7 linked regions of the Oryctolagus cuniculus genome follow. The protein of the gene in region 1 purifies or fractionates together with the protein of each later gene. This does not show direct contact. Links are inferred from orthologs where the notes say so. Each region holds a gene or a part of one and is shown in the gene's direction. Other genes may lie near its edges.

What was found.
Region 2: the proteins of U2AF2 (region 1) and PSMA4 fractionate together in Homo sapiens (co-fractionation; 3 studies listed by BioGRID, with this or other methods). This does not show direct contact. The link is inferred for Oryctolagus cuniculus from reciprocal best matches to the Homo sapiens genes U2AF2 and PSMA4.
Region 3: the proteins of U2AF2 (region 1) and SF3B2 purify together in Homo sapiens (affinity purification with mass spectrometry; 3 studies listed by BioGRID and IntAct, counting the BioPlex papers as one, with this or other methods). This does not show direct contact. The link is inferred for Oryctolagus cuniculus from reciprocal best matches to the Homo sapiens genes U2AF2 and SF3B2.
Region 4: the proteins of U2AF2 (region 1) and SNRPA1 fractionate together in Homo sapiens (co-fractionation; 3 studies listed by BioGRID, with this or other methods). This does not show direct contact. The link is inferred for Oryctolagus cuniculus from reciprocal best matches to the Homo sapiens genes U2AF2 and SNRPA1.
Region 5: the proteins of U2AF2 (region 1) and ACIN1 purify together in Homo sapiens (affinity purification with mass spectrometry; 3 studies listed by BioGRID and IntAct, counting the BioPlex papers as one, with this or other methods). This does not show direct contact. The link is inferred for Oryctolagus cuniculus from reciprocal best matches to the Homo sapiens genes U2AF2 and ACIN1.
Region 6: the proteins of U2AF2 (region 1) and SNW1 purify together in Homo sapiens (affinity purification with mass spectrometry; 4 studies listed by BioGRID and IntAct, with this or other methods). This does not show direct contact. The link is inferred for Oryctolagus cuniculus from reciprocal best matches to the Homo sapiens genes U2AF2 and SNW1.
Region 7: the proteins of U2AF2 (region 1) and TRA2B purify together in Homo sapiens (affinity purification with mass spectrometry; 4 studies listed by BioGRID and IntAct, counting the BioPlex papers as one, with this or other methods). This does not show direct contact. The link is inferred for Oryctolagus cuniculus from reciprocal best matches to the Homo sapiens genes U2AF2 and TRA2B.

Annotation. Positions count from the first base shown.
Region 1 is NC_091449.1:3,333,362-3,336,861, reverse strand, and holds part of U2AF2 (splicing factor U2AF 65 kDa subunit), read left to right. Parts: intron 1-319; coding exon 320-364; intron 365-1,281; coding exon 1,282-1,385; intron 1,386-1,533; coding exon 1,534-1,685; intron 1,686-2,868; coding exon 2,869-2,985; intron 2,986-3,500. UniProt on the Homo sapiens protein: Plays a role in pre-mRNA splicing and 3'-end processing. By recruiting PRPF19 and the PRP19C/Prp19 complex/NTC/Nineteen complex to the RNA polymerase II C-terminal domain (CTD), and thereby pre-mRNA, may couple transcription to splicing.
Region 2 is NC_091443.1:106,298,628-106,300,911, forward strand, and holds the end of PSMA4 (proteasome subunit alpha type-4), read left to right. Parts: intron 1-634; coding exon 635-758; intron 759-1,376; coding exon 1,377-1,531; 3' UTR 1,532-1,784; downstream 1,785-2,284. UniProt on the Homo sapiens protein: Component of the 20S core proteasome complex involved in the proteolytic degradation of most intracellular proteins. This complex plays numerous essential roles within the cell by associating with different regulatory particles.
Region 3 is NC_091432.1:5,766,885-5,771,046, reverse strand, and holds the start of SF3B2 (splicing factor 3B subunit 2), read left to right. Parts: upstream 1-1,362; 5' UTR 1,363-1,428; coding exon 1,429-1,561; intron 1,562-1,678; coding exon 1,679-1,725; intron 1,726-1,838; coding exon 1,839-1,916; intron 1,917-3,342; coding exon 3,343-3,582; intron 3,583-3,749; coding exon 3,750-3,800; intron 3,801-4,162. UniProt on the Homo sapiens protein: Component of the 17S U2 SnRNP complex of the spliceosome, a large ribonucleoprotein complex that removes introns from transcribed pre-mRNAs.
Region 4 is NC_091443.1:10,490,476-10,494,521, reverse strand, and holds the start of SNRPA1 (U2 small nuclear ribonucleoprotein A'), read left to right. Parts: upstream 1-1,246; 5' UTR 1,247-1,321; coding exon 1,322-1,403; intron 1,404-3,245; coding exon 3,246-3,393; intron 3,394-4,046. UniProt on the Homo sapiens protein: Involved in pre-mRNA splicing as component of the spliceosome. Associated with sn-RNP U2, where it contributes to the binding of stem loop IV of U2 snRNA.
Region 5 is NC_091443.1:51,920,717-51,924,968, forward strand, and holds the start of ACIN1 (apoptotic chromatin condensation inducer in the nucleus), read left to right. Parts: upstream 1-1,452; coding exon 1,453-1,632; intron 1,633-1,680; exon of another isoform or gene 1,681-2,118; coding exon of another isoform or gene 2,119-2,214; intron 2,215-3,025; coding exon 3,026-3,091; intron 3,092-4,252.
Region 6 is NC_091451.1:23,450,505-23,454,652, reverse strand, and holds the start of SNW1 (SNW domain-containing protein 1), read left to right. Parts: upstream 1-1,348; 5' UTR 1,349-1,462; coding exon 1,463-1,476; intron 1,477-4,148. UniProt on the Homo sapiens protein: Involved in pre-mRNA splicing as component of the spliceosome. As a component of the minor spliceosome, involved in the splicing of U12-type introns in pre-mRNAs.
Region 7 is NC_091435.1:95,591,738-95,594,479, reverse strand, and holds the end of TRA2B (transformer-2 protein homolog beta), read left to right. Parts: intron 1-143; coding exon 144-203; intron 204-712; coding exon 713-786; intron 787-1,243; coding exon 1,244-1,254; 3' UTR 1,255-2,242; downstream 2,243-2,742. UniProt on the Homo sapiens protein: Sequence-specific RNA-binding protein which participates in the control of pre-mRNA splicing. Can either activate or suppress exon inclusion. Acts additively with RBMX to promote exon 7 inclusion of the survival motor neuron SMN2.

The DNA of each region.
Region 1 (3,500 bases):
CTCCCCTCCTCGCAGTGGGGCACTGTCTGCAGCCTCGGCTCCCGGGCTCCCTCCAGGGATTCTGCTTTCCCGCGCCCCCCCCCCCCCCCCCCCGCCCAGTGCCTGCAGGGACACTGGTCTGCCCTGGCCCGCCTCCTCCTCTCCTAATCCTGGTCTGGGAGTTGGCGGGGGGAGATGGCAGGGCCGAGGGGGCTGCTTGCCGCTTGTTCTCCTCGGCCCTGCCCCAGCCTTGGGACTCAGTGAGCTGGGGGGGAGTGGCCTGTGGGGCAGTCGAGGGTCCCCAGTCACCCCTCCCCTACCTTTCCCTCCCACCCCCCAGCAAACCTTTGACCAGAGGCGCTAAAGAGGACCACGGTGGATTGATGTGAGCGTCTCTCCTGCCCCTGTGCCCCCGCGTCTACACCTTTCCCTCCCTCACTGCTGTGTGCCTCTCCCTGCCGTGTCCACACCTTCCCCTCCCTCACTGCTGTCCACACCTTGCCCTCCCCCTGCCCGCATCCACACCTTCCCCTCCCTCACTGCTGTCCACACCTTGCCCTCCCCCTGCCCGCATCCACACCTTCCCCTCGCTCACTGCTGTGTGCCTCTCCACTGCCCTCGTGTACACCTTCCCTTCCCCCTGCCCACGTCCACACCTTCCCCTCCTCCTGCCCGCGTCTACACCTTCCTCCTCACTGCTGTGTGGCTCTCCCCTGCCGTGTCCACACCTTCCTCTCCCTCACTGCTCTGTGCCTCTCCCTGCCCGTGTCCACACCTTCCCCTCTCGCTGCCCACGTCCACACCTTCCCTTCCCTCACTGCTGTGTGGCTCTCCCTGCTGTGTCTACACCTTCCTCTCCCCCTGCCCACGTCCACACCTTCCCCTCCCTCACTGCTGTGTGCCTCTCTGTGCCACGTCTACACCTTCCCCTCCCCCCTCCCATGTCCACACCTTCCCTCCTCCCTGCCCGTGTCCACATCTTCTTCTCTTGCCTGTGTCCACACCTTCCCCTCCCTCACTGCTGTGTGCCTCTCCCCACCCATGTCCACACCTTCCCCTCCTCCCACCCACGTCCACACCTTCCCTCCTCCCACCCGTGTCCACACCTCCCCCCTCCTCCGTGCCCGTGTCCAGCCCTGGCCCCCGCTCTGCCTTCAAACCAGCACCCCTCCCTAGGCCTGGGTCCAGATCCCCTCTCCTGGGGAGAGTGGAGTTCGTGGGGGGTGGCCTCTGCGGAGCCTGGGAGGGGCCCTGCGGCTGTGGGTCAGACTGAGGTTGGCCGCCCGCTCTCCCCGCCCCCAGTCGCTCCCCCCGCCATGAGAAGAAGAAGAAGGTGCGTAAATACTGGGACGTGCCTCCCCCTGGCTTCGAGCACATCACCCCAATGCAGTACAAGGCCATGCAAGGTAGGCCCGCTGGCCGCGCCTGGGGGGCTGCAGGAGGGCACCCGAAGTGCCCGTGGGGGTGGGGGTCTCCAGCTGAGTGTGTGGTGGGTGGTGCCCGAGCTCCGCGCCAGGCTTTCCTGACGCCTCGTCTTGTGCCGTCTCCTCCAAGCTGCGGGTCAGATTCCAGCCACTGCCCTCCTCCCCACCATGACCCCGGATGGTCTGGCCGTGACTCCGACGCCGGTGCCCGTGGTTGGGAGCCAGATGACGAGGCAGGCCCGGCGCCTCTACGTGGGCAACATCCCCTTCGGCATCACTGAGGTACTGCCCCTTCTGCCCTCCCTCTCCCCCGCCCCTCCCCTCCCCCGTTCCCTTCCCCCAACCTGCACGGGTCAGACTCTGCTCCTGCGAGACCCCCCCGGCCCCCTCCCAGACGGACGGATGGAGTTGAGCCAGCCAGGGGCCGGGCTGGGGGTGGCCCCTCCCTCCCTCCTCCTCCCTCTCCCGTCTCCCCTCCCACACCCTCCTCCAGCACACAGCTAACGTACCTACACATCACACGTACGTGTCGGAGAGAGACAGAGAGGGAGACTCGACACAGGCACACGCAGACACACGCAGACGCACGCCCGTCTTCTCTGACACGCCTCTCCTTCTGTGCCGCTGTCCCAGCCTTTCCCACAGCCCTCCCTCCCTCCCATGGTCGCTGCTCTGTTTTGATGCCCTGACCTCCTCCCTGCCACCTTCCCCGCCGCTCCTGTCCCCCGACCCTCCCCACCCCTTCCCGTGGCACCCCCTGAGAATCCCGAGATCAAAGAGTTGTTTCCATTTCTCTTTAAAGTGAAATATTGTGGGGCTGAGATCCCTCGTAGCAACAAAAAGTTTGCTACCATCGTCGAAGGCAAGTAAGGTCCATTCTGACTTTCTCAACCTGCACTTTGCTACATTTGATAAACCAGCCCCCGGACTCCAGGGCCAGGTCCCTCCGCATCACTCTTTTCTCCTCCCCTCCCGCCCCTCCTCCCGCCCCGCCCCCACCTCTGGATCTCCTCGCTCTGCTCTGTCCTGGTCGCCCTGCCCGCCCCTGTGGCCTCTCTCTCTCTCGGTTCCTGCTCCTGCCTGTCCTCATCTGCTCCGTCGTGTCCTGGGTCCTCTCCTCCCACATGCTGTCTCCTCCCCTGCCCGTCTGACGCCTGCTGTCGTCTCCCCGATGGCCTGGGGCCCCCGTGGCTCCCTCCCAACCTCCGTCCTGTCGGCCGCATCGACCCATCTCCCGCCCTGTGCCGCCTCTCGCTGCTGCCTCCCTGTCTTCTCTCACCTTCCTCTTGCTTTTGGCCCTTTCGCCCCCTACTCCCCATATTTCACTGTCCCCTCCCCCTCCCCTCCCTCACCCCTCATCCCTCCCCCTTACCCCCAAACCCCTCTGTGTCTCCCTCTCTCACCCTTCCCCTCCTCTCTCCACCTCCCTTCCCCCGCCCCCCCCTGTCTCCTATTCCCTCTGCAGGAGGCCATGATGGATTTCTTCAACGCCCAGATGCGCCTGGGGGGGCTGACGCAGGCTCCTGGGAACCCTGTGTTGGCTGTGCAGATTAACCAAGACAAGAACTTTGCTTTTCTGGAGGTGAGCGGGCCAGTGCTGGGGTCGGGCATGTGCAGTCCGTCCTTGTCCCTCGGCTGCTCTGGTGTGCTCTGAGAACCCAAACCTGCCTCCAGCCCGCCCTCTGCTGGCGTGTGGCCCAGGCACCTGTCCAGACCCCTGGACCTGTTCCTGAAGACGCTGTGCTCCTGCCTCGCGCGGCTGGGCTGGGCCGGCTCCCTCGGGTTGACCGGCGGTGCTCCCAGACCGACTGCTGTGGACCGTGGGTTGGGGTCGGAGCCCTGGTCTTGCCGGACGCCGTGAAGGCACAGAAGCGGGCTTGTGGCCGTAGAGGCTGCTGAGCGGTGCGCTCGCGCTCTGTGCTTGTCTCAGGGGCTGTCTGCTCGGCGCCTGCGTAGTGGCGCTCCCCTGGGACCTTCTGCACCGAGCCCTCTTCCCTTGCCGTGCCTGTGGGTGTCTGGGGCGCTGGTGTCTTCGCTCCCTAGAACACTGGGCCCTGGAGGCAGGATGTGGCCGGCACGGGACGTGGCACATGGGGT
Region 2 (2,284 bases), on another chromosome or scaffold:
GTTGCCCCTCTTCCAGGCCAGCTCTCTGCTGTGGCCCGGGAGTGCAGTGGAGGATGGCCCAAGTACTTGGGCCCTGCACCCCATGGGAGACCAGGAGAAGCTCCTGGCTGCTGCCATCGGATCAGCGCGGTGCGCCGGCCGCAGCGCGCTGGCCGCGGCGGCCATTGGAGGGTGAACCAACGGCAAAGGAAGACCTTTCTGTCTGTCTCTCTCTCACTGTCCACTCTGCCTGTCAAAAAAAAAGAGGATCTGGGACTCAAACCTGAGCGCTCCAGCCACCTTAATGTGGTAGGACGATGCCTTTCCTTTCTGTTAGTGACACTCATCGGTCCTCGTAATATAGTGGGGTTTGTTGGCTGCATTTGTAATTAAAGGTGGTTTTCTGTTAGAAGTTGTAGAAGTGTAGGTGTAATTTTTCCTGTTAGTTTTACACTCTGGATTCTTTGGCACACCCCTGGGAGACAGCAGATCCCAGGCGCGGGCCCCAGTGGCGAGCACCCGTGGCCCGCTCTCCCCAGCACCCCCGGCCACCTGCCCTGCCCTCAGAATCTTCACCCGGGTGCACTGCTAATAGAAGTTCCGGCATTTTCTGGTAGACAAAATGCAAACACTAAAAAGTGGCTCTGTTTTACAGGCAGCTGTGTCAATGTTGAAACAAGACTACAAGGAGGGGGAGATGACCTTGAAGTCGGCGCTCGCTTTAGCCATCAAAGTGCTCAACAAGACCATGGATGTCAGCAAGCTGTCCGCTGAGAAAGGTGACCGCTGTGTGCTCCCTGAGCGCGGGCTTGGTGGGAGCAGCTGCTGCGTCGGCTGACCGCCGACTCCTTCCTGGAACGCTGGCCCGGCGTCAGGTGGCCTTTCCCTGCTGGCTCAGTGAGAGCCCTGGGGCGTGGGGAAGTGCAGCGGCTCGACCAGAGTCGGCACTGATAGGTGGGGGAGCCACGGGCCCACGCTGCGTCCCGGGTGTGCGGAGCCTGAGCCTGATTGTCCTCAGAACTCCCGGCTGGGGGAGCCTGCGCTGTGTTGCCTTCGCTGACAGTGTTGTCACTGCTCACGTGGTCTCTGCGTGTGCGCGTCGTCACGTGCACGTGGGCGGGAGACTGGTGGCGCTCTCTCCAGGACGTGTGGGCTGCGATGTCTTGTGTGAAGCCCACTTAGCAACTCCAGACCCTTTTATTGACCCTCAGTTGTGTGACTGTAAAACATAATCCAGTGACAGTGGCCATCAGAGCAGAGTACCCATGAGCCACCGCGAGCAGGAGGCCTGGGCAGAGGGAGCCAGGCTCGGCGGCCGCGGGGCCGGTCCCTGAGCGTGGCTGTCACGCCTGCCTGCCGAGCGTGCCTGCCCCTAACGCAGATGTGTCTGTTTGTAGTGGAGATTGCCACGCTCACGAGAGAGAACGGAAAGACGGTCATCCGAGTGCTCAAACAGAAGGAGGTGGAGCAGCTGATCAAGAAGCACGAGGAAGAGGAGGCCAAAGCCGAGCGAGAGAAGAAGGAGAAAGAGCAGAAGGAGAAGGATAAATAGGAGAGGCGGCCGGGCAGGCTCTTCCTCCACGCCGAGAAGGGGCGGGCGGGTGGGCGGGCTCTTCCTCCCACGCCGAGAAGACGCGGACTGTTTTTAACTGCCGCGGGGACCGCGGATGTGCGACGCCGACCCGGTCCTTGGCCGTCCCAGCCGATCCAATCCATTACCGTATTGTGAGGATGGTGATTACTCTTCACGGACATCTTTACCCCCACATACACCCTTTTTTGGAATAAAACTTGGAAAGAATGGAGATGGTGACGGGAACGTTGTATCGCAGTTGTTGGGAAGAGTGCCAGGGCTGCTGGGCTGTTGCTTCCCGTGCCTTAGCCCCCTGTGGTCTACACTGCCTTCCCGCAGGCCACGAGATGGCCCGTCTGTCCAGGGATGGGTCAGAGGCGGACAAAGGCAGAGCCGATGCGCAGGTGTGGGACAGGAGGCCGTAGATGCCGGGGCCGGGGCCGGGGCGGGGGCGCCGCAGTCAGCAGCCGCAGCCGCGGGGAGGACGTGGGAGGACGTGGAAACCAGCCGAGAAGGGGTCTGTTTGACCGGAGGGAGCTCCGTCCTGGAGCAGGTGGTGTCATGATAGAAGTGGTAACAGAAGCGACGGACAGCGTCGGCATCTCCTGGGGTGTGGCAGGAGTACGAATCGGACGTCCTCAGCCCTGCTGAACCAAACAGGGCGGAGCAGTGCTCTGTGCAGGTGGGGATTATGCAGGTGGAAGTTTGAGAAATGTTTTGTTGCATTTGAAT
Region 3 (4,162 bases), on another chromosome or scaffold:
CCGCCCCTCCTCTCTGCATCCCGGGGCTGTTGGGGTAAAACCAGGCCGCCTTGGTGTGTCCCCCGGCCCCCGCTCTGTCACCAGCAGCCCTTCCTCTCCTGCCCAGAGATCCCCCTTCCCGACAGTGGAGGCACGTGGCTCCGTGCCTGCAGCCTCAGCCGACCTGCCCCGGTGGGCTCTCCGGTTACAGGGAGCAGAAAGAACCTTCCCTCAGGCCGGGAGGGGTTCTGCCTGAGTGGGCTGATGTGCCAGAGAGAAGGGCACCGCTTTTTTTTTTTTTTTTCCCTGTGCTGTTGTGACTTCCCTGGGACTGGCAGCAGGAGCCGTGGGCTGGTGACCTAGTGGGTGGGAGGGAGGGGTGTGAGCCAGGCTCCCCCGGCCCGGTGCTTTGCTCTGCCCCCAACCCTCACCTTCTGGGCTGTGCTCCCGGCTCCCAGGTATTTCTCACTGAGGACAGTTAAATGCAGCTGGGTGGAGAAAGGATCTGAGGGTGTGTGTGTGTGCGCGCGTGTGGTGAGACCCTTTCGTGAGTCTTCCTGTCACTCAGCACAAGGACTCACACAGGCCCTGGAGACGCAGAGCTGGTGGCACAGGTGGAAAGTGAAATGCAGCCGATGGGGCAGCGCAGTCAAACGTGGAAGCTGGGCAGGCAGGGTCCCCTGCTCGCCTCTCCGTGAGCTCGGCAGGGGATGCCAGCGGAGTGGGGCTGACCAAGACCAAAAAAGATAACAAGTGATGTCGCTGAAGATCCGCTCTTCCGGTCACCTTTATTGGGCGCCCCTTGCACGCCAGGGGCTGCAGCCGTTGGATCAAGCCCCGACTCGTCTTTTTCAGGCGGATGTAAGTGCAAAGACCAAGACTTGAACAAGATGGAGCAGATTTGAACGCATTACGAGAACTCCAGGAAAGCCGGAGAGGGCGGGCCTGGAAGATGTGAAAGGGGCTTGGGTGGCAGCGAGCGCTCCACTCCGTCCGTGCGGGCCCGGGCAGACAATCGGCCCGACCTTCCGCTCCCGCCGCGGAGCGAGTCCCTCGGGACCCCCTGGGAACGCAGGCACTCAGGCCTCTCACGCTTGGCCCGGGAGTCGAGCCAGAGGCTGGAAGCCTGCGCTCGGGCGGGCGAGACGCAGAAAGCACTCCCTGGGGCCGGGACTCGCCGCCCGCGCGGCCCCGCTCCGGGCGCCGCAGCCCAGGTCTGCGCTCCGCGTCGGAGCCGCGGCCTCAGTGTACTACGACTCCCAGAAGGCTCGGCGGCCTCAGTACTACGACTCCCAGAAGGCTCGGCGGCCGGCCGGCGAGTCACGTGACAAGCCGAGCTCCCTCCGCCGCCGAGAGGACGTGGCGTGCGGCGCTGCCGGAAGTTCCGGGAAGTAGGCCCCGAGGGCGGCCGGAGCTTCCGGGCTGGTCGCGCGCCTTCCTGTGGCCAAGATGGCGGCCGAGCATCCCGAGCCTCCCAAAGGCGAATTGCAGTTGCCGCCGCCGCCGCCTCCCGGGCACTATGGCGCCTGGGCTGCCCAGGAGCTCCAGGCCAAGTTGGCAGAGATAGGCGCTCCGATCCAGGGTGAGGGCTTGGAGGGGCCGGGAGGGCACCGAGGGTCCGTGGAGACGCGGAGCCCGGTTACCCGGGAGACTGGGGGCGGGGGCGGGCCCGCGCCGCTGACCCGAGCCTCGCCCGCAGGGAGTCGCGAGGAGCTGGTGGAGCGGCTGCAGAGCTACACGCGCCAGGTGAGTGCCGGCGGCCGAGGGGGCCCGCCCGGCGTCGTGGTGGCCGGCCCCGGCGCGGAGGAGTCTCTGGCTCCCTGGTGGGCCGCCCTGGAGCCTCGCTCTCTCTCTCGCAGACGGGCATCGTGCTGAACCGGCCGGTCTTGAGAGGGGAAGATGGGGACAAAGCCGCGCCCCCTCCCATGTCGGCACAGGTAAGGGGGCGCCCCCTTCTCTCGCCTGCGTCGGGCTGCCGTGCGGAGGTGGGAGCTCCGGGTCCGGCCCGCTTCCCGGCGTCCGCGCCTTCGAGTTCTGGCCCCGGGGGTTCCGCTTGAATGCGGCCCGCCCCGCGTGCTGCCGTGTCGACCTCTTGGCCCGCCCCGCGTGCTGCCGTGTCGCTGTGCGAGACTGAACGCGCGGGTGGACTCTGCAGAGCTCGCAGCGCCTGGCACGCCGGTTGTCTCCCGTCCGTCACTTATGCAGGATTTGATGCTTTTCCTCCAGAGAGTGCCTCTGACCCATGGCTCTGCACTCCTTCAGCGGCCTTTGTCTCGCTCTTTCTTTTTTTTGACAGGCAGAGTGGACAGTGAGAGAGAGACAGAGAGAAAGGTCTTCCTTTGCCGTTGGTTCACCCTCCAATGGCCGCCGCGGCCGGCACACCGCGCTGATCCGATGGCAGGAGCCAGGTGCTTCTCCTGGTCTCCCATGGGGTGCAGGGCCCAAGCACCTGGGCCATCCTCCACTGCCCTCCCTGGCCACAGCAGAGAGCTGGCCTGGAAGAGGGGCAACCGGGACAGAATCCGGCGCCCCGACCAGGACTAGAACCCGGGGTGCCGTTGCTGCAGGTGGAGGATTAGCCTAGTGAGCCGTGGCTCTTTTTAAAAGTGTCTCTTTTTAAAAGGTTTATTTATCTACTTGGAAGGCAGAGTTAGAGAGACGGAGGTCTTCCATCCGCTGGTTCACTCCACAAATAACTGCAGTGACTGGGGCTGGGCCAGGCTGAAGCCAGGAGCCAGGAGCTTCCTCTGGGTCTCCCACGTGGGTGCAGGGGCCCAAGCACTTGGGCCATCCTCCACTGCTTTCCCAGGAGCACTAGAGGGAGCTGGATCGGAAGTGGAGCAGCCAGTGCTCAAACCAGCTCCTGTAGGGGATGCCGGCACTGCAGACGCTGGCTTAACCCGCTGTGTCCAGCGCTGGTCCCTCAAGTGTCCTGGAGTCGTGTGGAGCAGCTGTGTTCGTGGTATTTTTCCGTGGAGACAGTCGGTAGCTTTCTTTGGATGGTATCCCAGAGAACTTCCCGTTCTCTTCCAGTGCACAGAGCAGTCTCTTACAGAGCAAGAAATCACGTCTCTGTCTTTTTCCTTGATTTTGAATATTTTTTTACTTATTTATTTGAGAGGAAGGTTTATAGACAGAGACCGAGAGAAAGGTCTTCCATCCGCTGGTTCACTCCCCACGAGCCTGCACCCATACGGGCTGCTGGCATCACAGGCGGAGGCTTAGCCCACTGTGTCCCAGCACCGACCCCAGGATCTCGTCTGACTTGGAATCCCAGTGCCTGGCTCAGAGCAGGCTCCCAGCGGATGCTGGCAGAGGGCGTGGGCGAATGCCTCCTGGCTCACGATCGCATTTTCTCCACAGCTCTCTGGGATTCCCATGCCACCGCCACCCATGGGGCTCCCTCCTCTGCAGCCCCCTCCACCCCCCCCTCCACCCCCACCAGGCCTTGGCCTTGGCTTTCCCATGGCCCACCCACCAAATTTGGGGCCCCCGCCTCCTCTCCGCGTGGGTGAGCCGGTGGCGCTGTCGGAAGAAGAGCGGCTGAAGCTGGCGCAGCAGCAGGCGGCACTGCTGATGCAGCAAGAGGAGCGCGCCAAGCAGGTAGGGCGGGGGAGCCTGGGCCTGGCCTCGTGGGTCCCTGCGGAGAGAGTGGGCTCGGGGAGTTGGCGCCGGGACCAGAGGCAGAACCAGGCCGCAGGCTGGCGGCAGAGCTGGGGCAGGCGGGCCGTGGGGAGTTGTGCTGGTGTGAGCTTGTTTTCTCTCTTAAGCAGGGAGATCATTCACTGAAGGAGCACGAGCTCTTGGAGCAGCAGAAGCGGGTAATGCCCCCCTTCCTGACCTTTGACCTCACGGTCCAGGCCTTGGCTGTCACTTAACCGTGCTTAGTGTGCAGGACGAGAGGCACCGTTCGCGTTTTCTTTGGAGGCTGCCTCATCCCCAGCTAAATTCCAGCATCTCTTGAAGAATTCCGTTGTTCCTCAGCCCACAGGTTGGCAAACCACAACCTGTGGCCTGTGTCTGTCTGAGCTGTGAGCTGAAAATTTTTTTCCTATTTGTAAAGGGTTGTTGTAAGAAAAGCCCAAATCAAGAATGTCTAGCAAAGTCCTCACAACAGCCCGTGGAGGCTGATGCCCACTGGTCCACCACTAGTCCACACGACGTCCCCTTAGGTGCCTTGGAA
Region 4 (4,046 bases), on another chromosome or scaffold:
GCCTGCCAAAGAGGGTCCACTGTCACCACTGCTCCATGCCGTGCTGCAGGTCCCAGCCAGTGTGAACAGGGATCCAAAAAGAAAAAGCCAAAGAAAGAGCAAGTAAAATACAAGGGGCTGGCTGTGTCCCGTGGGTTTCACTGCCGCCTGCATCCCATGTGGGCTCTGGTTGGAGTCCCAGCTGCTCCACTTCCGATCCAGCTCCCTGCTAACGCACCTGGGAGAGCAGCAGAGGATGGGCCAAGAGCTTGTTCCCTGCACCAGTGGGGGAGTCCTGGAAGAAGCTCCTGGCTCCTGGCTCGGGCCTGGGCCATCCCCAGCCGTTCTGGCCATTTGGGGAGTGAATCAGTGGATGGAAGATTCTCTCCTTCTCTGTCTCTCCCTTTCAAATAAATAAATCTTAACAAAACGAACAAAAAGATAGGGTCTGGCACTGTGGCGTAGCAGGTAGAGCCGCTGTCTGAAGCCCCGGCTGCTCCACTTCCGACCCAGCTCTCTGCTCTGGCCTGGGAAAGCAGTGGAAGATGGCCCAGTGCCTGGGCCCCTGCACCCGCGTGGGAGACCTGGATGGAGCTCCTGGCTCCGATGGGACCAGCCCCAGCCGTTGCCGACACTTGGGGAGTGACCCAGTGGATGGGAGGTCTCATGCTGTCTCGGTGACTCTCTCAAATAAATAAATCTTTTTATATATATAAAAAAAAGTTAGTTAAAAATGGAATTTCTGTAAATGGCCTTTACAGTACCATCCAAAAAACTACAAATATCTAGAGCTGCAGGCGCGGGCCGAGCCTGCGGGGAGAGGGCGGCGGCGGCCACGCGCGTCACGGGGCAGGCTGCAGGACGCACGCTTCCAGTCTCTCAAGGTCGGGAGACCCCCGCGGGCCTACCGCAACCCCACCAGACCCGGGCTTGACTCCCGGGGCCGGCCCCGCCGGCGCCAAGCGGCCACGCACACCCTCGCTCCCACTGCGCGATGCCCTAGTGTGAGAGAGGTCCGCGGGGCTCTTCCCCCGGTTTTCCTAACTTTCGGACCCAGACGTCTAGAAGCGGGGCCCCCCACCCCCACCCCACCCCACCCGACCCGACTCCAGAAAGCCCCGGGCGGAGAACCCCGCGCCCGGCCCGTCCCCAACGCCAGCACGGAGCGCCGGCCGAGACGACCTCCCGGGGAGGCGTGGCTCTTCGATTGCTTCGGGCTGGCGGTCGATCTGCGATTGGTGCGGCCTGGCGGCGGCGCGGGGCATGCCGGGACGTGTGCTCCGCGCGCGGCGGCAGCGGCAGGCGGGGGCGGCGGCGGCGCGGGGCGGCTGGCGGCGGCAGCATGGTGAAGCTGACGGCGGAGCTGATCGAGCAGGCGGCGCAGTACACCAACGCCGTGCGGGACCGCGAGCTGGACCTCCGCGGTGAGTGCGGGGGGCGCGCGCCGCGGCCTCGCGGCCGTCCCGCCGGCGGAGCCTCGAGCTGGCTTCCGGCCCGGCGCGTAGCGTCGCGCGGGCCTCGCGGGCGGGAAGGCGGCCCCGGCGGGCGGGAAGGCGGCCCCGGCGGGCGGGAGCTGCTGGGCTGGGATCCGGGCGGGAGGAGGCGGGGCCCCGATGGTTTCTCACCCGATCGTTCCCTTCCGGGAAGCGGCCTTGAGGTGGAGCCGTCTCGCCGAGCCTGGGCGCGTGGGGCGCTCTAGAGGCGTCGGCCCGGACTCGGCTTCCCGGGGATGGGGGCCGGGCTCGGCTTCCCGGGGATGGGGGCCGGGCTCTGGGGGCGTCGGCCCGGACTCGGCTTCCCGGGGATGGGGGGCGGGGGCCCCGGACTCGACTTCCCGGGGATGAGGTCGGGCTCTGGGGGCGTCGGCCTAGACTCTGCTTCCCGGGGATGGGGGCCGGGCTCGGTTTCCCGGGGCGGGGCCGGGCTCTGGGGGCGGGGGCCCCGGACTCGGCTTCCCGGGGATGGGGGGCGGGGGCCCCGGACTCGGCTTCCCGGGGATGGGAGGCGGGGGCCTCAGACTCGGCTTCCCGGGGATGGGAGGCGGGGGCCGGGCTCTGGGGGCGGGGGCTCCGGGCTCTGGGGGCGGGGGCCCGGACTCTGCTTCCCGGGGATGGGGGCCGGGCTCTGGGGGCGGGGGCTCCGGGCTCGGCTTCCCGGGCTCTGGGGGCGTCGGCCCGGACTCGGCTTCCCGGGGATGGGAGGCGGGGGCCGGGCTCTGGGGACGGGGGCCCCGGACTCGGCTTCCAGGGGATGGGGGCCGGGCTCTGGGGGCGGGGGCCCCGGACTCGGCTTCCCGGGGATGGGAGGCGGGGGCCGGGCTCTGGGGGCGGGGGCCCCGGACTCGGCTTCCCGGGGATGGGGGGCGGGGGCCCCGGACTCGGCTTCCCGGGGGTGAGACTGCGGCGCTGGCCGGAGGTTGCCCGCGGGCGCCCGTTGGCTGTGCTCGCGGCCTGGACTCCCCGCTGACCTTCGGGGGAAGCCCCGGAGCTGCTATTTTGTAGCGAAAGGCTCGGTCCGAGAGCAAGCCGCCCCTTGGGCCGCTCCCAGGTCTGGTGGGCGCGCCGTGCTGAGCAGCTCTGGATTGGAAACGGCCTGGCCGCGGCCCTTCCCTCCTCCGCTGGGCACCGAGCGCAGCAGTAGGCCCCGGTTAGAGCGGTGGGCTTTCGGGCGAATTGTTCACAGGGCGTCGCCTTCAGGTCTGGATTGGCGCTGGGGAGGTGAAATAAAGGGCTGTGGTGACGGCATGAGCGCGTCCCGGGAGCCTAAGGGCTGTAGTGGCGTCATGAGGGTGTCCGGAGAGCCTGTGGACTCTGGTGACGTCATGAGCGTCCCGGGGAGCCTGTAGACTGGTGACGTCATGAGCGTCCCCGGGAGCATGTGGGCTCTGGTGGCGTCATGAGCGTCCCCGGGAGCATGTGGACTGTGGTGACGTCACGAGCGTGTCCGGGGAGCCTGTGGGAGAGGTTGGGGACCGTTGACAGTAGGGCCTGGGCCTACTGCAGCGGAAGGCGAACCGTTGGGCGGCCCCGCCAGCGTTCTTCGGAGCCTCGTCAGGCGCCCCTCACGCACGTCCTTGCCGTCAGCCTCGCGCGTCCGCAGCTGGAGCCGAGCCTCGCGGCGCCGGGGACTCGAGACCGCCCGCTCTCGTGTGCGGTGGGTGCGCGCAGTGTTCCTCACTGGCAGGTGTGGGTGCTGGACACCGCCGGCGGCCCGAGGGCCCTTCGGGTCCTGTTCATGCCTCTCCCGCCCCGCCCTTCTGTCCGCAGGGTATAAAATTCCTGTCATTGAAAACCTGGGTGCTACCTTGGACCAGTTTGATGCTATCGATTTTTCCGACAATGAGATCAGGAAGCTGGATGGGTTTCCTCTGCTGAGAAGACTGAAAACGTTGTTGGTGAACAACAACAGGATATGGTGAGTGCGCCGGAACAGCGTGGCCTTTTCTCCGCTGCTCGCTCCTGAGAAGCTGTAGTGAGGCCGGGTAGACCTACTTGATTCCAGGGTTCTGCGGGCACCTCCTGCAGCAGGAGGCCTGGCCAGCCGGAGCTGGGAGCTGGAGCCGGCCGGATGGCTGCTGTGGGTGCGTGCGCTGTCACCAGCCCCTGGGGCCTGCAGCAGCAGCAGAGCTGGCATTGGCGCCACAGCTGGGCGTTTAACCCGGGCGCTCGAGTGTGGAGCGCAGTGTCTAACTGCCTGGCTCACACCTGTGAGCCAGTCTTCTTCGAATGAGAGATGGGGTGCAGCTTTCCAGGGATCCAGGGGTTACTTTGACATTGGCCTAGGCGTATTTGCATATGTTCAGAAATATTTACATATTCATAATTTCTAATTAAAAGTGTGCTGTTTTGTACATGTTTTGGCTTCTAAAATAGTTATCAAAGGGATTGTATAAAAAGCTTTATAAAGCTCAGTAATTGTGTTTTTATCACATGTCTACCTCCTGCCTTCTGCTTTACTTTTCTTCAGTTAAACTGGTTTCTAGAAGATTTGCTGAAATTGGGATCGTTTTAGCCCTTAAGCTCTGTGTAAATTTTATTGGAAAAAATTTATTGGCTACTTGTAGAGAA
Region 5 (4,252 bases), on another chromosome or scaffold:
ATATATAACAAAAGAGCCTTCTTTGCAAAGCATGCACAGCTGCTAAAATATGTCAGAAAAACTTCGTAACATCCGTTACCTCCTCATACTTTGTGTAATTACAGCACCAGGAAAAAGTGTAAGAGCAGACCAAGGGTCTTGCCCCACTTAACAAAAAAAGAAAACCATGAGAAAGGAGAAGCCGAGTGTTTAGTCAAGACCCTGAAAATACAGTCCTGCTGGTTTGTTGGCTTAGAGATCTAACAGGCAAGAACACACCAAAAAGTCCATGGAAAATGAAACTAAAAGGTAAGTTTATTTTCGCGCGCGCAAAAAAAAAAATCTGGAATCTATGCATAGGAGTATTGTTGTATGACAATTCATATCCTATAAACAATTTTCCTTAATGTTTAGTGTGATACCTTTGATGCCTAGACTTTTTTTGCATCATAAGAGCAACTGAGAAGTCAGCCAATCTTAGTTTTCAGTCCCAGCTTGACTCTTACCAGTGAAAACCTTCAACTGTTTGTCTATTGAAAATCTTACTGTTTGTATTTCTTCTGCTACAAGCTGGAAAGTTTGCAGTGGCAGAGAAAGGAACCTCTACGTAATTCACATCAATTCCAACGCCAAAACAATTCCGGGCGTTTGCCTTTATCCCAGTGGCCCCACAAGTAGTTCCTCCGAAAACAACTTTTTATTATCATTCCGGGAAAGGGAGAACATTTCATGAGTCTGGCCACACGGCTTCCACGGCAAGCTCAAGTTCAGTCTCAGGAGGAATCCGTTCAGAGTCTGGGTCGAAAGACACAATACTGTCTTGAGGCCACGGGAGCCCGCGATTCCGATGCCCCAAAACAGTAACGTACCCTTTCGCCAGAGTGGCAGGGACTCAGGGGGTTGGGGGCGGCAGCCGCTTCCGTAAAGAAGCGAGGCTTTTCCCACTAAAATTGCCCGCAAACACGCAGTCTAACCCGGCCGAGAGAGAGACCTCTGCCTAGCTTACCTCCTGTTTCCTTGCAAAGGCTCCCCGGAGATAGTCACACGAGTCCTTAGACGCTGGCTACCGCCGCGGCTTCCATGTTTCCTGAAAATCCTGAATAGGGCCAGCCGGGCAGCCCACGCACTTCCGGTACGGGACCAACCCCAAACACCCAAGCGCCTCAGCGCCCCGGCTCCAGGTCCGGAGATAGCCGAGTATCTCCGATTACGGTTATGCTAGCGTCGAGGGCTTCCGAATACATTCGATTGAAAGCTTCGGCAAGACGGAGATAACCGAGCCTGAAAGCAAGCCGAGGGAGGGGTAGCGGCAGGACTAACGGAAAGAACCAATTGGCGGCGATGTGAAGGCGGAAACACCCGAGCAGTTCCGGAAAGACTCGGGGAGTTCTGAGTGGTAATCGAGGCGTAGACTATGGTAATGGGCGGGGCCAGGTCGGTACGTTCGAAGGGCGTTGGCGGAAATTACCGAAGATGCCCGAAGCCGTCGGGACGGACCCGAGTACCTCACGCAAGATGGCGGAGCTGGAGGAGGTGACTCTGGACGGGAAGCCTCTTCAGGCGCTGCGGGTGACCGACCTGAAGGCCGCACTGGAGCAGCGAGGCCTAGCCAAGAGCGGGCAGAAGAGTGCCCTGGTCAAGCGGCTCAAAGGGGTGAGGAGTCGGTGATCCCGGGGTGTCGGAGGGGAGCGGACCCGGTAGAGACGAGTCTCTGCCGCGGCGCAGGCGCAGTGTCCGGGCTCGGCGCGAGCTCTCAGGCCGCCAGCGCGAGCTTCCAACCCCGCGCGCACGGTGGTTGGTGAGGCTCGAGCTGGAACGGAGATCGCGCCCGTTCCCGCCTTAACGGCAGCAGCGCGAGCCCAAAATGGGAGGGTGCGCGCTACTCTCCCGGAGTGTCTTAAGCTCCTTCCTCCTTCCCCCACCCCCTCCTTGTTTGTGTCTGTGGTTTCGGCGCATGCGCTGCAGAAGGAGTTAAATCCCACTACAACCACCGGCGTTGCTGGCCTGACGGGGGCGAGTTGGGTTGGGTCGGAGTTAGGGGTATAGTTGGGTGGAGGGGAGGATGGGGTTGATCCCGGGATCTGCTGGAGCAGGGTTGGGGTAGGATAAAATGTCTGCCCTGGTAGATAGGGAGGTGAGATGAAGAGAAGCCTTGATTTGAAGGGACGTGGTGAGACAGTGGTGTCTGCAGGGAATCCAGAAGCAATTTGGGTGGATAAGAGTTTGGTGGGAGAGGTGAGGTTTACATTGGATCGGCTTGAGCAGGTTAGGGTGGGTTTGTCTTGAGCTGGACGAAGTGGTGTGTATGGGCTTGGTGTGAACGGAGGAAGGGGAGGATGTGTCGCTTTTAATTAGAGTTGATTAGGATACGTGGCAGGTAGTACAGAGTCGGGCTGGGTTGGCCCGAGGGTTGAATTGGCAGACCATTGCTTATCCAGAAGCTGGCCGTTTTGTGTGGGGGGTGTGGATTAGGGCAAAGCACAATTTTCAGGGTCTGTATTCATTTTCTCATGTGGCCTCTTTGACAGGTTTTATAAATTTGATAAGTCTCAGTGTCTCTGCCAGAAATTATACAGGTTCATTCAAGTAGATCTAGTCTTGGGCAACAGTTTGACCAAGTAACTCAGTTAAGCCAAACCGAGCACCCGGTGTTGGTTTCATGTATTTGAAGCTGGTGTTGAGCATTTGAAGTCATTTTTACCTGCACTGCTAGATTTAGAAGAGGCACCAAATGTGCAGAGGGTAATAAGGATTGTAGTATTGCTTCTGTCACTGTCACTGATTTTTATGACATGGCCAGATCTCTGAGTCTGTGGGCCTGCATTTTACATCTGTGCATTTAGGAGCAGTAACCATGGCTACCTTTGAAGGGCTTCTGAGGATGAATGAGAACAGTATTGGTAAAGAGCTTTTAGGTTCCTGGAAAAGGAGCGCAGTTTAAGTGTGTATTTAAGGCATCACATTAAATGAAGAGGTTGTGGGAGGGGTAGCGGTTTTGTGTTGTTGTTTTCACCTGGTTTCTGACTTTTGCACTTCTCCATACCAGGCTCTAATGCTAGAAAATTTACAGAAACACTCAACACCCCATGCTGCATTCCAGCCAAATTCCCAGGTAAGAAAGGTTTGGTAGCTGGAGTGGGCTTGTTTGGAGGTACAGACACATGGAAGGAGGGCCATAGTGTTCTACATTTGATGCTTAAGTCCTTACCAATATTTTTCTAAGGTCCCTTGGTTGGAAATGTTCTCGTACTAGGACAGTTGAGTTCTAGCCAAGCCCAGTTTTGCACAAGGACCTGTAAAGAATAGAATCAAAGGAACTGTTAGTTAATTCCTGATCCTCGCAGAAAAATGTCACTCTGATTAAGTGTCACTGAGAACTAGAAGTCATTTATTTGCCGTTGATTTGGGAAAAGTCGTTGATGTTTTTGAGTGGAGATACGAAGTAGCTCACCAATAGGGCAGTGTGGGAAAATACTTGCTCATCAGGAATTCTTTGACAGCTTTTTTTCCACCAAGAATGCAATCTTTTGTAAATCATGCACTATTATTAGTGTTATCTGCCAACTCTGTGTGATTACATTTAAACATCACTAATAGCTCTGTTACTTCAAACAAGAAACAGGTTTTGGAGGCCTTGGTTTCCTCAGTTTCCTTATCTGTAATGAGAAGATGTTGAACTAGATCCATAGTTTTATAACTGCTCAGCTGGGCTTTGGGGGGCTTCCTAGGAAAGATAGATACCTTCTTTCCAAGTAAGCAAGATTCCTACTCCCTCTTAAACTAGATTAGATATGTTATCTACTTCATGAGTTCTGCATGAGATTTCTTTTTAAGAAATCATTTTGCAGTTAAAAACGTTTCTTAGCCTGCACAATCTCCTAAGGTTCCTTTTACGTTTTAGAATCTCCTCAGTATAGTGTGCCATGCTCTTAGGGAAAAAACCCAGGTCTTTATTAATGCAGTGATGTGCAGAAACATTACCAGATGAAGTCCCAGGATACTGTGGAGAACAAGAGAGCCTTCCTGTTCCCTTGTTATCACCTTATTAAGCTGTTAGTATAATCTAACCAATGTTCAGAGGTTTAGCTGTGTACTTTAACAAGGATAAGGGACTGCATAAGTTAATCAGTTCATGATTTACAGCAAACTTGCATATTCTCTAAAACATGTAACCTGTGCCTCTTCACTGTCCATTGAGTACCCAGAGACCCATTTCTACCATAGGTGAAAACAAGCAGTTAATATGCTTAGGAAATACAATAATCTGGAAAGT
Region 6 (4,148 bases), on another chromosome or scaffold:
GTCTCCAGTTCGAGTCTGGCTGCTCCACTTCCAATCCAGCTCTCTGCTATGGCCTGAGAAAGCGGTGGAAAATGGCTCAAGTCCTTGGGCCCCTGCATCTGCGTGGAAGACTGGGAAGAAGATCCTAGTTCCTGGCTTTGGATCTGCGCAGCTGCAGCCATTGCGGCCAACTGGGGAGTGAACCAGTGGATGGAAGACCTCTCTTTCTCTGCCTCTGCCTCTCTGTAACTCTGCCTTTTAAATAAATAAAACCTTAAAAAAAAAACTAAAAGCTAATCAAAACTAAAAGCTAATTAAATCTTTTTTTGAAAAAATAATCTATTTTTTATTTGAAAGGCAGAATTACAGAGAGAGATGGAAAGACAGAGAGGGAGGTCTTCCACCTGCTGGTTTACTCCCCAAATGGCCATAACAGCTGGGGCTGGGCCGATCCAAAGCCAGGAGCTTCTTCTAGGTCTCCCACGTAGGTGCAGAGTCCCAAGCACTTGGGCCAAACTCCGCTGCTTTCCCAGGTGCATTAGCAGGGAGCTGGATTGGAAATGGAGCAGCTGGGACTTGAACCGGCATTGCCTGTACTGCAGGTGGCAGCTTAACCCACTATGCCACAGTGCTGAACCCTGATTAGATCTTCAAACTAAATCTGTCACAGTTTTGACTTTTGACAGGTCTTTGTTCAGAAGCTCAGTCCAAATGAATGGCCTCCTATAAATCTTACTGAATATATTAAATCATATATATATAATGTATGTAGGTATATACATATATATTTATACACATAAGGAATATTCTCAAAGTGACTTGCTAAAGAACACAAAAATACAGTGGGTCTTCAAGAGGTTCATGGAAAATGTATATTATTATAAAAAAAACTGTCTAAATTTCAATTTTTTTTGGTGCATAAAATAACTATATTTTAATTCCCTTTTTTTCTACCAACGGTTTGAACTATCCCAGTTAAATCCCCAGGAGTGTTTGGGGAAGAAAGGGTACTGGTTCAAGAACAGTTTTCTGATTGTGAATGTTCTCAGAGCGTCCAAGAACGCTCCGGTCTCACGATTTCCTACCGTTTCAGAAACCCCATTGTCCTCCACTCAACTTGCTTCGGGCAGCCTCTTATACTTAGACACCTCTTCTAGGTGAATGGGTCTGAGCGGGGGAATAAAATAAAGGCGTTTAAAATGCCTCTCCCCCCACCCTCGTTATTTAGCCAAGGAAATGTCCTGTCATGTGACAGTAAACGAGTAATCAAGTTAGCCATTTACTCTTGACTTCAGGGGCCGTCCTGTAAAACCCCACGGGTCAGAAGAGACCCGAATTGTACTCACGTTTAAACAACTACAAGTCCCAGAAGGCTTTTCGGCGGCGGCGCCTGCGCATCGCGGGTTCTGCCCTCTTCGCTCCTGGTTGCCGGGAAAGACCCGCCCCGCGGCGCTGTCGCTCGCGTTAGAAGAAGCGGAAGAAGATGGCGCTCACCAGGTGGGTTGTTGATTTGGGTCCTTGATACGGAAGGGTCTGGTAGTGCCCCTCTTTTTCATGTCTCTGCCCCGTCGTCTCCAGCCAGGGATCTGGCTTAGGACACAGGAAGAAGAGAGCCGAGAGCTTGGCGAGGGCCTCCCGCCGGTCGCCGCGGCGGCTAGGCCTCCCCGACGCTGGGGTCTTTCCTGAGCGGCCTTGGGTTGAATTCGGCCCCTGGGCAAGGCCGAAACCCTCGGCGGGACCGCAGAAGCTGGAGAGCGGCACGTGTTTTCCGCTGAAGCCCCTTGCGGGTGTGTGGAGCGCGCGCCCTGGGGTCGGCGGCTCCGCGGGACGCGATGGCACCGTGGGGAGCGGGGCTTGCCTACGCGGGCGGAGGGAAGCGCGCGGGACGCGACTGCGCGACGCTCCGGCCGTTGTTCGCTTCTGGCTCTCTCCTTTTCTCTATCCACTCTGTCGCCCCGAACAAAGCTTCCCGAAAAGGGGGATCCGGAACTGATCGGGGAGTCTTCAGTTAGCCACAGTGGGGGCCGCTGTGTCCCCATAGGCGCCAGCGCTCCGCACTTTTAACTTTGAACCTTAGAATTTCTTCGGTGAAATCGAACCACCTTGGAGCGCTGCTGTGCCCGGTTGCCTTGGTAACCAAAGGCCAAGCGCTCCCTTCCTTTAGGAGAAAAAGATGCTCTAAGCGGGAGCTTCCGAGAAGTTACATAATTCCCTATGCGTGACCTGGCTGCCCGGTCTAAGTAGGCAAACTTTCCCCGCGAACTCATCTGGAAAAGTCGAGTGTGAAAAAATGGGCTGCAAAGGAAGCTGTCATTTTAGGGCGTGAGCTTGAGCTCCCTGACCATGCTTGGTTCTCCTCAAGCGTCTTCAGCCAGGCCGATGACACTGAATTTAAAAAAAAAAATTTACGCGACCATTCTTTTGGGAATGACGTTGAGTGCCTTGCTGTATTCAGGCGTTACGTATCCAGGAGATCTGTCTTTAGCTGCAACGCAGATGGGGCCCAAGGCATACAACTATCAAAGTGCTCATTTACATAGATGATAGTCTTAGTGCAAAAAGCAATTAGATGAAGAGAACTGCGTGGATCAAAGAGTTTGCTTTAGAAACTGTTACAGGTAGGTGCGAGGCATTGTGACATAGACAAGTAGGGTCAAGAGAAAAAGTTAGAATTTGAAGTGGATATGCAGGGAAAATACCAGGGATGTTGAGGGTATTGTGTGCTTAAAATCGCAATGGCAGAATGCAGTCTTTAAGTGGCCAGTCTTAGCAACTGTGTTGCTTTTCATATGCTATTTGTATACTTTTAATGTCCTCTATAATAAATCGGTAAACGTTTCCCTGAGTTTTGTGAGCTGGCCTAGCCAGTTGAACTCAAGGAGGGAGTTGTGGAACCCCAGTTTATACCTCGTGGGTGAGGAGTATACCCTGAGCACACTTGAAATTGGTATCTGAAGTGTGGCAGTCTTGCAAGACAGCCCTCAGGATCTGTCAGAATTGAATTGAATTGGACATTACCTGAATGTCTGGAAACTCCCCCCACATCTGGTGTCAGAAGTGTTGGGTGTGTTGTATTGGTTGATGAGTGAGAAACTTTTTCCTATACTTTTGCATTCCTATCTGTGCAGAGCTTGCCTTCTGGTTATATGAGTGAAACAAATCAATAATGCCATTTCAGGTACCAGGTACTGGGAAGACAGTAAAGGGTTGGAGGGTGACTCCAAGTTTGGAATCAAGTGGCTTTTTTGGACAAGGTGGTCACAACTTTAGGAAGGTGTAATTAGTTGAGCAAAGAGATGCGCTGCTAAATGCAGGCTGCTAAAAAGTTGGGGAAGAGTTTGCTGTAAAGGAAAATTGCTTTTAGTAAGTAAATAGACTATGTCATGGTAGAAGGAATAGCAAAGGTAAAGCTCCTGCAATGTCTTTTTAGGGAAAGATGACACGACTGTAGGGACATCAGGATGATGAGTGCGAAGTATCGAGTGAGCTATTTTCTATCTTTAAGGAGCCCCTGTTAGCTGGACAGTTACTGGGAAGTTGGGATGAAAGAAGTTAAATCCGTGGGCCCTGCCTCAAAGTTTGTGATGGTGCTGTGTGAGGATAGATGACTGCACTGCAGTGAGGTGGATATTTCTAGTGATGAAACACAGAGATACACAGAAAGTCTTTTTTTTTTGCCAGGCAGAGATAGAGTGAGAGAGAGACAGAGTTATAGACAGTGAGTGAGAGAGAGAGTTATAGACAGTGAGAGAGACAGAGAGAAAGGTCTTCCTTCCATTGGTTCACCCCCAAATGGCTGCTATGGCCGGCGCATCGCGCTGATCCGAAGCCAGGAGCCAGGTGCTTCCTCCTGGTCTCCCATGCGGGTGCAGGGCCCAAGCACTTGCGACATCCTCCACTGCCTTTCCGGGCCACAGCAGAGAACTGGACTGGAAGAGGAGCAACCGGGACAGAATCCGGCTCCCCAGCTGGGACTAGAACCTGGTGTGCTAGCGCCGCAGACGCAGGATTAGCCTAGTGAGCTGTGGTGCCGGCACACAGAAAGTCTTATGGGAACAGAGGTAGAGATAGCTAACCCAGACTGAAGAAATCATGCAACAGACAGGATGCCAGCTGGTTCAGGAATTTTTTCATTTAATACTTATAAGGTTGATAACTTTCATGATCTA
Region 7 (2,742 bases), on another chromosome or scaffold:
ATCTCCCCTCTCTCAAATAAATAAAACTTTTTTTTAAGTTATATTCAAGTTTTGCTTTGTGGATATTTTTATTTTAAAGCAAGACTTGTATATTCGTCCTAAAAGTCAGTAAACTAAATGTGTGTTTCTTTTCTGTCTTCCAGAGGTGGTGGTGGAGGAGGAGGCGGATGGAGAGCTGCTCAAGATAGAGATCAAATTTATAGGTATGCCAGGAAAGGATTTATAATTGGTCAACAGTAGAAACTTTGAATAAAGATGTACGCTTAGTAATGGTTTTATAGTTAAGGCATAAGTGGCCTCACACAAATTTGGATTGCTTGGATGTAAAGCCAGATGACAATATAATGGAGTTTGTGGATCTGCAGAAATAATATGGTTTATAGACAGAATTACTCAGTGGTATCATTTTATTGAAGCACTAGTGAAATTTGTTTTAGGTGTTAGAAAATTAGTTTCTTCTAACATTATTTCACAGAATTTAAAAGGAAAGCATATTGATTGGTCAAGTAAAGAATTGATTATTGGATCTCTGATAGTGAAACGGATGCATTATTATAATGTGCTTTATTCTCAACTTACAAGGACCTTGAAATCTCCTACTTATGAGAAATATTTGAAAATTCATGAGGACCTCTTCATTTTGGTAGGGTGTTACTGTCACTTGTCAGTGTGATCTATGGAGACTTAGGCAGTCTTGACTTTTTTTTTACAGAAGGCGGTCACCTTCTCCTTACTATAGTCGTGGAGGATACAGATCACGTTCCAGATCACGATCCTACTCACCTCGTAAGTTTTTTTATCTTAGGATTTTTTTATACAGCCAAGTTACTTCCTTATGCAGATAATGGGTTGATTTGGGTTATTTATATGTTATGAACACACATCCTAAATGTTGCTAGGACTCAAAGTTTATAAAAACAACCCTTAAGACTTACTGTTTTCTCTCACTGTCAGTAGCTTTCCTTTTAGAAATCCTTGAAAATTTTGGACAACTTTGGGATACTTGGGTGATTTAAAACTGTTGTTCTCAGGTTATGATCTACTTAACCCAGCCATTTCTGTTTAACACTTGAATGTTTAATTTCTGTTGTTAACACCGTTCCGAGAATCTTCATTTTCAAAGAGGGGCTATGCTGGTACATAGGAACGTGCTAATGGTGAGGTAGTCTCAGTTCTCAGCATTAAGTACATTTGCTATTCTGATTCCTTGGCATTGAAGCATGTTTGTTTATTTTCTTCCCAGGTCGCTATTGAAGCATGAAGTTGAACACTCTGAAATCTGCCCTAGAGCTGGGATGTTGTTTGTGGACAATATTTTTTATTGTCTCCTGTTTAAAAAGTGAACAGTGCCTAGTGAAGTTAGGTGACTTTTACACCTTTTATGATGACTACTTTTGGTGGAGTTGAAATGCTGTTTTCATTCTGCATTTGTGTAGTTTGGTGCTTTGTTCAAAGTTAAGTGTTTTCAGAGAAGTATGTTTTGCATGTATTTTTTTACAGTCTAAATTTTGACTGCTGAGAAGTTTTTATTGTACAAAACTTCATTTAAAAGGTTTTTCTACTGAATCCAGGGTATTCTGAAGATCGAAGCCTGTGTGTAAAATGTTACCAAATGGCAAAAAGCAACAATAAACAGTTTGGTTTTTACTTTTCTTTCTAACATATCAATGCTTAGCAGAAAGTTCAGATTAAGTTGTCAGTAGTGAATTTAAAGACAAAAATGCCCGTTATTTCTCCAGTCCATGAAACATACCATACTTATTATACCTGCAAGTAAGTGTTAAAAATTACGCTCTGTAACTCTGTACTGCTAGTATTAGAACTAAAACTTTGAATACAGCAAACGCTTGATGCTTATATAAATGTGGATTTGTCAGCCTTTATGTAACCTGTATTATATATAGCAGGGAATAAGAAAAGAGTTACACAATGTATGCCTTTAAAAGGCTTTTTCTTAAAGCTGTTACAAGGGGATAATGGTATTTCAACTAGTTATCAGCAAGTAACAATACATTCCACCACAAATGTACTCTTGTTCTAGCTTTTAGACCATATGAAAAAACTGGGTGCTTCAAAGTACGGGATAAGAGAAGGGAACACTACACCTGTGTCGTGGATAAACTGAAGACTTTGCCTGTTCATTTTTTAAATATTATTTTCAGGTCCTTTGCTTACCAAAGGAGACCCAATTTCACTCAAATGTTTTGAGAACTGTGTTTAAATAAACGGAAATGAAAGAAAATTTGCTGGTGCTACTCAATGTTCAAAAAAAAAAAGTTTTAATCTTGTAATTAGACTTCTAAATCTTAGTTTGTAATACAGTGTGTCCATTGGGCTGAGAAGTGTTAATATTCCAGGAAAACTTAATGGATAGCTAGATCTGGCATGATCATCTCCATTTGAGGATAGGATTGCATTTACAGAAAACTCCAGCCTTCACACATACCCTGAAATACCTGTTCGTACAAAAACTCAGGTACTTTTAAAAAGCACTGTACATACTATTTCATTTAATCCTTGGCAATCCATGATGTATAGAGTACTTTACCTAGGACTGAACATCTTTCATTTGAAAGAGTGGTGGAGGGAGAGGTAGAAAGTTCTTTCAGCCACTGGTTCATACCCCAAATGCTTGCAATAACCAGGAACCAAGAACTCTATCCCGGTCTCTCAGGTCAGTGTCAGGGGCCCAAGGATTTGGGCCATCTCCCACTGTGTTCCCAGGCACATTAGCAGGAGATT